2 linked regions of the Macaca mulatta genome follow. The protein of the gene in region 2 interacts with the protein of the main gene of each other region in a pairwise test. Links are inferred from orthologs where the notes say so. Each region holds a gene or a part of one and is shown on either strand. Other genes may lie near its edges.

What was found.
Region 1: the proteins of INPP5K (region 2) and MAD2L1BP interact in binary tests that used the Homo sapiens proteins (3 or more experiments, as listed by UniProt). The link is inferred for Macaca mulatta from reciprocal best matches to the Homo sapiens genes INPP5K and MAD2L1BP.

The regions. Positions count from the first base shown.
Region 1 is NC_133409.1:138,483,224-138,487,493, reverse strand, and holds the start of MAD2L1BP (MAD2L1-binding protein), read left to right. Parts: upstream 1-1,444; 5' UTR 1,445-1,463; coding exon 1,464-1,509; intron 1,510-1,977; coding exon 1,978-2,243; intron 2,244-4,270. UniProt on the Homo sapiens protein: May function to silence the spindle checkpoint and allow mitosis to proceed through anaphase by binding MAD2L1 after it has become dissociated from the MAD2L1-CDC20 complex.
Region 2 is NC_133421.1:3,055,592-3,059,397, reverse strand, and holds part of INPP5K (inositol polyphosphate 5-phosphatase K), read left to right. Parts: intron 1-496; coding exon 497-606; intron 607-3,806. UniProt on the Homo sapiens protein: Inositol 5-phosphatase which acts on inositol 1,4,5-trisphosphate, inositol 1,3,4,5-tetrakisphosphate, phosphatidylinositol 4,5-bisphosphate and phosphatidylinositol 3,4,5-trisphosphate.

The sequences.
Region 1 (4,270 bases), on a different chromosome or scaffold from region 2:
ACCCACCACACCTGGCTAACTTTTAAAAACTTTTTTTTTTTAATTTTGCAGAAACAGGGTCCCCAATATTGTCCTGGCTGGTATCAAACTCCTGGCACAACTGGCCATACAATTGCTGAAGTCAGAAACCTGCTTGTTTTCTTGTCAGTCTTCTTTTCTTTTCTTTCTTTTGACATGGAGTCTTGCTTTGTCACCCAGGCTGGAGTGCAGTGGCGTGATCTCAGCTCACTGCAACCTCTGCCTCCCGGTTCAAGCGATTCTCCTGCTTCAGCCTCCTGAGTAGCTGGGATTACAGGTGCATGCCACCATGCCCAGCTAATTTTTGTATTTTTAGTAGAGACAGGATTTCACCATGTTGGCCAGGCTGGTCTCAAACTCCTGACCTTGTGATCCACCTGCCTTGGCCTCCCAAAGTGCTGGTATTACAGGTGTGAGCAGCCACGCCCGGCCTCTTGTCAGTCTATTTCTATTCCTCCTCCTCCTTGTAAATCAATCACCAAGTTATGTTCACTGGACCTCCTAAATATATCGAGTTACCCAATTATCTCCACCCCACTGTGACTACCCTAGCAGTTTAGGCTGCTTTCATCAAGTACTCAGGTAATTGCACTACCTCTAACTGGTATCCCTGCCTCCTCTCTTATCCTCTCTGTAATCCAATCTCTACCCTGCAGCCAGGGTAGAGATTATAAGATGTAAATTTAATCATGCCACTCTCCTACTTAAACCTTTCAAAGCTTCCCCATCTGACTACAGGATCAAGTCCAAACTCTCACATGGCTTACACAGTCCTGCCATGATCTGGCTCCTGTTGTTCACTACAGCCTTAACTCTTTATAATATGAACTCTTTTCATTCCTTGAACAGAGTATGCTCTTGTCTCAAGGTCTCCTGGAGCACTGGGCCCTCCTCTTTACCTTGCTGACTTATCCTACAGGTCACAGCTTCACACATTTCTTCTGGGACCACTCCTTCCCAGCCCCTACCCTCTCTGGGTCAGGCACCCTTGTTTTTCACTTCCACACCCCGTGTAAACCCTTCTGTATAATTCATCACATTGTATGGTATCTACAGGCAGTGAACCCCTTGAGTACAGGGTCCGCGCCTGGCTTGTTCTCCGCTGAGTCTCCAGCACCTAGGACAGGGCCTGGCACGAAGTAGGTGCACAGTGAGTAGTGAATGCTGGAGTGAATGGATGCGTGAGGGTTGGTGTCTTTTGGAAAGCAGCGCTCATTGGCTGAGAACGCCTGGGTTCTTGCTGGGCAAGGGTTAGGCGTATATTTGCCAGGGTGTTAAGGAAGGAACGGAGGGATCAAATCCCAACTCCACTTAGCCTCCCCAACACTGCCGTGGCGCCGCGCCTTTTTTCCGGCCCAACTGAACCGGAAGTGGAGGCGCGGGCTTCCCATGATGCCCCGCGGGACCTTTATTCTAACCGCAAGGAGTAAGGGGAGGAGGTCGTGATGGCGGCGCCGGAGGCGGAGGTTCTGTCCCCAGCCTCAGTCCCTGGTAAGGCGTGGGGCCCAGAGTTTGGGAAGCCTTAGGGACCCGTTTCTTCCCTACCTCCGCGCCCTCCATTTATCCCTTGGTCCTCTCCCTAGCCCATCTTCCCTGTCTTCCGGGTGTCCTACAAGGCTCTAGCTGTGACTCCATCGCCGTGGGTCGCACTGGACCCTGCTTGACTACACTTTTGACTCATTTCCCCAGATCAAGTCCCGCTGCTTTCTGAGCGGGGAGCCCTAGTTACTACCTCCGAAATACCCCCACTATCTTTCAGTCAATTAAATCTCCTCAGGCAACAGGGATCAGGAATCTCTCCCTGCCACGGCCCACACTGTAGGCTGCGGAGGGTATGGGCGTATGTCGGAGTGCCTGCTTTCTCAGGGTGGCTGGTTTGGTGGCCACAGGGAATGAGAAGACTGACTTTGGCTTTTAGGTTTTAAATTTTTCTCTCTTGTCCCTCTTTTCATCTACCAGATTTGGAGTGGTATGAGAAGTCAGAAGAAACTCACGCCTCCCAGATAGAACTGCTTGAGACAAGCTCTACCCAGGAACCTCTCAACCCTTCGGAGCCCTTTTGCCCAAGAGACTGCATAGTACCAGTGGTGTTTCCTGGGCCTGTAAGCCAGGAAGGCTGCTGTCAGTTTACTTGTGAACTTCTAAAGCATATCATGTACCAACGCCAGCAACTCCCTCTGCCCTATGAACAGCTTAAGAACTTTTACCGAAAACCTTCTCCCCAGGTAGGCACAGGCTTTGGGAGCAAGTTGGTGGGAAGACTTTGTGGCTCTTAGATGGGAGGCAGGTAGAAAGGGGGTCTAAGAAATCTTCAGAGCCTGAGAGACTAAGCAGCTTCCAGGGCTTCAGTCACTTTCTCCCCATTCTAGTCTTTGGTAGCCTAACCCTTCTGGCTTTTTCTCCTGTTCTTTCTTTCTGAAACTCGTGTTGCATTTGGTCTTAATGAACTGGCTCTTCGCATTTTTTTCTTTTGAGACAGAGTCTCGCTCTGTTGCCCAGGCTGGAGTGCAGTGGTGAGATCTTGGCTCACTGCAATCTCCCCCTCCTGGGTTCAAGGGATTCTCCTGCCTCAGCCTCCTGAGTTGCTAGGATTACAGGCTCCCGCCACCACACCCAGCTAATTTTTGTATTTTATGTTTTGAGACAGAGTCTTGCTCTGTTGCCCAGGCTGGAATGCAATGGCGTGATCTCTGCTCACTGCAACCTCTGCCTCCCAGGTTCAAGCGATTCTTGTGCTTCAGCCTCCCCAGTAGCTAAGAGCACGTGCCACCATGCCCGGTTTATTTTTGTATTTTTGGTACAGATGGAGTTTCACCATGTTGGCCAGGCTAGTCTCGAACTCCTGACCTCAAGTGATCTGCCCGCCTTGGCCTCTCCCAAAATGCTGGGATTACAGGCGTGAAATACTGCGCCCGGCCTGCATGTTTCTTTTTAATAGCATCCTGTTGTTGAATTTCTGTATGAACTTTTTTTTGCTTTGTTGTTTTTTTTTTTTTTGAGATGGAGTCTCACTTTGTCACCCAGGCTGGAGGAGAGTGGCACTATCGCAGATCACTGCAACCTCAGTCTCCCAGGTTCAAGTGATTCTCCTGCCTCAGCCTCCCAAGTAGCTGGGATTACAGGCATGCACCACCACACCTGGCTAATTTTGTTTGTTTGTTTGTTTTTGATAGGGAGTTTCATTCTTGTCACCCAGGCTGGAGTGCAGTGGCGCCATCTCGGCTCACTGCAACCTCTGTCTCCCAGGTTCAGGCGCTTCTCCTGTCTCAGCCTCCTAAGTAGCTGGGATTATAGGCATGCGCCGCCATGTCCAAATAATTTTTGTATTTTTAGTATAGACAGGGTTTCACCATGTTGGCCAGGCTGGTCTCGAACTCCTGACCTCAGGTGATCTGCCTGCCTCAGCCTCCCAAAGTGCTGGGATTACAGGCATGAGCCACCATGCCCAGCCTGTTTGTTTTCTGAGACAGAGTCTCGCTCTGTTGCCCAGGCTGGAGTGCAGTGGAGCGATTTTGGCTCACTGCAACCTCCACCTTCTGGGTTCCAAGCGATTCTCCTGCCTCAGCCTCCCAAGTAGCTGGGATTACAGGTGTGTACCACCACACCCAGTTAAATTTTGTATTTTTAGTGGAGACGGGGTATCGCCATTTTGGCTAAGCTGCTCTCAAACTCTGACCTCAAGTGATCTGCCCATCTTGGCCTCCCAAAGTGCTGGGATTACAGGTGTGAGCCACCACGCCTGGCTTACCCAGCTAATTTTTGTTTTTTTAGTAGAAACGGAGTTTCACCATGTTGGCCAGGCTGGTCCCAAACTCTTGACCTCAGGTGATCCACCTGCCTCAGTCTCCCGAAGTGGTGTTGGGATTACAGGTGTGAGCCACCGCACCAGGCCATGAACTTCTTTTGCCTGAGGATATTATTTAATTTTTGAAGTTTTTCTTTGTTCTTTGCGGCATCTCAGTTTCTTCTAGAATCCATTCTCCATTTGTTTTGTTCTGGTCTTTGACTTTCATGTTGGAGAATTTTATTGTGTCTGGTGAATATTTAAGAACAAATCACTGCAAGCTCTGTGTGCATGCCTGGGCCTTATGAGCTTATAGACTTCACTATAAGGAGATTAGGTGGCAACCTGGTGATCTCTTTGGGGGGATTCCTTAAACATAGTATTGGAAAGTCTTCCCTCTGGATGGGGGAGAAATTTGGCAGATGATCTAAGCATCTTGACACAGATTTTCATTCATTTCCCCTATAT
Region 2 (3,806 bases):
GAGCCAGATGCAGAGCATGAAATGAATTATTTAAAAAAGAAGAAGAATAGGGAACCAGAAGGGCTTTGCACCAGGCGCCACCACGCATCAGCCCATCGTATCCCTGTCGTCTGTCTTTCCCATCCCCAGCCTCGTTTCCCTCCTGGAGGGTGAGATGACCCTTTGGAGGACCCTGGCTCCCCCACCTTCCCCTCTGCCACATGTCTGCTAGTGACCTCCACTAGAGATGGAATTCCAAGTCGGGTCCCTGCAGTCCAAGGACTGGGAAACGGCAGACAGCTGCCTCCCCTAGGCCTTGGTAGTGTTTCTGAAAGGATTCACCTGCTCTCTGGTGGGGGTGGGCTGTGAGTAGTCACTGGGGCAGTGGGGCAGTGGAGTGGCATTGCTTGACTCTTGCCCCATTTGTGACGGCATGTGCTGATCCCTTGAATGGAGTGTGGTACTGGGCCATTGGGTCGAGTCTAGAGGGAGACGGGGACTGTGACTTTGTCTGCAGCTCAGCATTGCCAAGAAACATGATCCACTGCTCCGGGAGTTCCAGGAGGGCCGCCTGCTCTTCCCACCCACCTACAAGTTTGATAGGAACTCCAACGACTATGACACCAGGTGAGGAGGAAGCGGGGCCAGAAGGTCTAAGAAGTCAGGTTACATTGGCCCTGCTGGCATGGGCACTGTCTCAGAATAGAAGTGTTAGGGGCCGGGAAGCCGTGTAGCCATCTCCTCTCCAGAGTGGCGCCTCCTGTCCACTTCATGAGGCACTGACTGGGGGAGCCGTCCCAGATCTCAGCGAGAGTGGGAGGGAACGCCAGTGCCGGCAAAGGCAGGAGAGGTGTGTGGGGGGTGGGGGTGTTATAGGTAGAACTAGAGGAGAGGGTGGAGCAGCCGCCTCCTGACCTAGGAGGGACTGCACGTCAGCTTCTGGAAACCCCAGACCTTCTGGTCCCCAAACAGGGCAGAAAGCTTGGGCCAACCAGTTACTGGTATTAAGGACCCTTGCCCCAGCCCGTGGGTGGGTCAGGTTCTGTGTGAGAAGGTGAAGTAGTGGGTAGAGAATTTCATCAGGATCAGTGAGATCATGAGTCTGGTGGTTAAAAGCACAGCTCTGTCTGACTTTAGACAAAGTGTTAGGCCTCGTTTTGTCATCTATAAAGTGTGGATGACACAGCAGACACCTCATGAGGCTGAGGATTGAAGAAGGCTGGCACCGAGTAACCATGGGAGAGAACTGCTATTGTGACTTTTAGATTCATGCCGGCTGGGCGTGGTAGCTCACGTCTGTAATCCCAGCACTTTGGGAGGCCAAGGCAGGTGGATCACTTAAGGTCAGGAGTTCCAGACCAGCCTGACCAACATGGTGAAACCCCATCTCTACTAAAACTTCAAAAATTAGCCGGATATGGTAGCGTGCGCCTGTAGTCCCAGCTACTCAAGAGGCTGAGGCAGGAGAATCGCTTGAACCCGGGAGGCGGAGGTTGCAGTGAGCCGAGATCTCACCACTGCACTCCAGTCTGGGTGACAGGCAAGACTCTGTCTCAAAAAAATAATTATAAAATAAATAGATTCATGTCTTCCCATCATAGATTTACTAAAAACCTTTCTAAGAAGCTGAGAAGGGGCCAAGTAACCATCAAAACCTGAGAAAGAACTTCTGGCAACATGTCCCTGACCCAGTTTGGGGCAAGGACCCTCATCTCTTTGAAGAAAGGAAGAGCCCCTTACATGTCATGAGGGTCTTTGTCCCAGCGGGAGCGGCTCGTTCATTCTCCGAGCGGGAGTGTGTCTGTGAGGGAGGCGGGAGGTGCCAGCAGGGCAGCCCAGGCCTTTGGGATTTAGCCAGTGCAGGACAAGAGGTAGAACTCAAGCTTGGTTCTGGAAGTGGTACAGCAAAGCCAAAATATCCTTGCCAAGGAAAGGGGGAAAGAGCGAGCTGACTGAGCAGTGTGGAGCAAGATAGGGTAGGGTTGTGAGCAGGGCCGTCCAGACAAGAGGAGGCAGCAGACGCTGGGGACGGGACCCACCCTGGGCAACAGAGCAGGCAGGAAAGGAGGTAAGAGGCCAGGCTGCGACAGGCTGGCCGGCCCAGACCGACAGCTGCAGGGAGACTGCCAGTCTCTGCAGCCATCCATTAGAAACAAGAGTCATGGTGGGAGCTGTAAGGACAGGCTGGGGCCTTGGGTGGGGAGAGGTTGCTTGAAGCCAGGAGTTCAAGACCCACCTGGGCAACATGGTTAGACCCTATCTCTACAAAAATTTAAAAATCAGCTGAGTGGGATATGCCTGTAGTCCCAACTACTCAGGAAACCTGAGGCAGGAGGATCACTTGAGCCCAGGAGTTAAAGGCTGCAGTGAGCTGAGATTGACCCACTGCACTCCAGCTGGGCAACCCTGTCTCAAAAAAAAAAAAAAAAAAATTCCTCTTTAAACACTTGCCAGCAGGAAGAGAGGTGCTGGCAGGCCCTATGGCCAGGTGGCCCCTTCTCCCAGCCCTGTGCCAGAGAGGTCTCCAGGAGACTGAAGTTTGTTGAAAAAGCTGGGTCTGGGCTGGAGTTGACAGGGTCTAAAAGGGTAGTGAGCTTTGGAGAAGTTCAAGGACTTCCCCAGGGAGCTCACCCAGTGAGTGGCAGAGCTGGGGCTCAGACTGATCTCTGAATCTATAGCCCACAGTGCTTTCGTCAAGCCCATTGTGCGTCAGGATTCATGGTCATCCTTGCCAGCAACAGCAAAAAGGATGGCACGGTGAGGAAGGCAGACTCCTGCTAAGGAGGAGGCACACACCTATTTCCAAATAACAGCTCACCGTGATTGGCGGACAGGCGTGCACCCAGGCTTTGCCTGTGTCAGTTCTTATCATGTCCTCTTTAGGTAGACAGTGTCACTATTGACTGTTTACACAGAAGGCAACTGAGTCTCAAAGAATATATAAGTAAGGAGCAGTAGACTTCATCACTGCATGAGGATTGGAACTCATATCTGTGTCTGTCGACTCATGAGCCTTCAGTACTTCCCTTTGGCTGGAGCCCAGGAAATGCAAGAATGTCCGGGCAAGAACAGGGGACATGGTAACTGAAATACTTCTGGCTGGGGCCAGGGTCCAGAGGCAGCTGGGAGTTCCTGCAGTGAGCAGGGCCTGAGCCCACCTGGGGCAGAGACATTCCTATCTAATGAAACTGTTATTTTATCCTTGAAAACCCAGTTGAGACATCACTTTTCCTAGGACGCCTTCCCCCATCTCACTGAGAGTTCCTTTCCTGCCCTGTGCCGCTCCCAGCCTTGCACACGCCATGCTCTCAGTGTTGCTTTTAAGCAACACTGTACCTTTTAAGCAACAGTGTACCTTTCTTACTGTACTGTGATGGCCCAGAGAGCAGAGACGATCTGATTTAGGACCATCCCTGGGAGTAGCACAGTGCCTGGCATATGTTACCAAGTCTGGGAATTAGTCAGTAGAAGGTTTCCAGAACTGCGTGCAGAAGGTTGGAGCAAATGTTAAGGAGGCGGACAGCTAACGCTAGGAGAGGCCTGTCAGACTTCCTGTCAGGAGAGTATCTTGAAGGAAGCACAGAGTTTGGCAGAAAGCAGAGGGCAGGCTTTCCAGTCAGACAGCACACTGACCAGAGGCACCTGCAGGGGCCGGTCTGATGAAGTGACCGAGCATGAGTGTGCTGGGCCAGCGACTACAGTGTTCCCAAGCCAAGATGTAATGAGAGGCTAGCTCCCTTATAGGGGAGGGCGAAAGGGCTGAGGGCAGGGTGGGAATCCTGCTAAAGTCCCGGATTACACTGGAGTTTTATTACAGTTGCCACTAT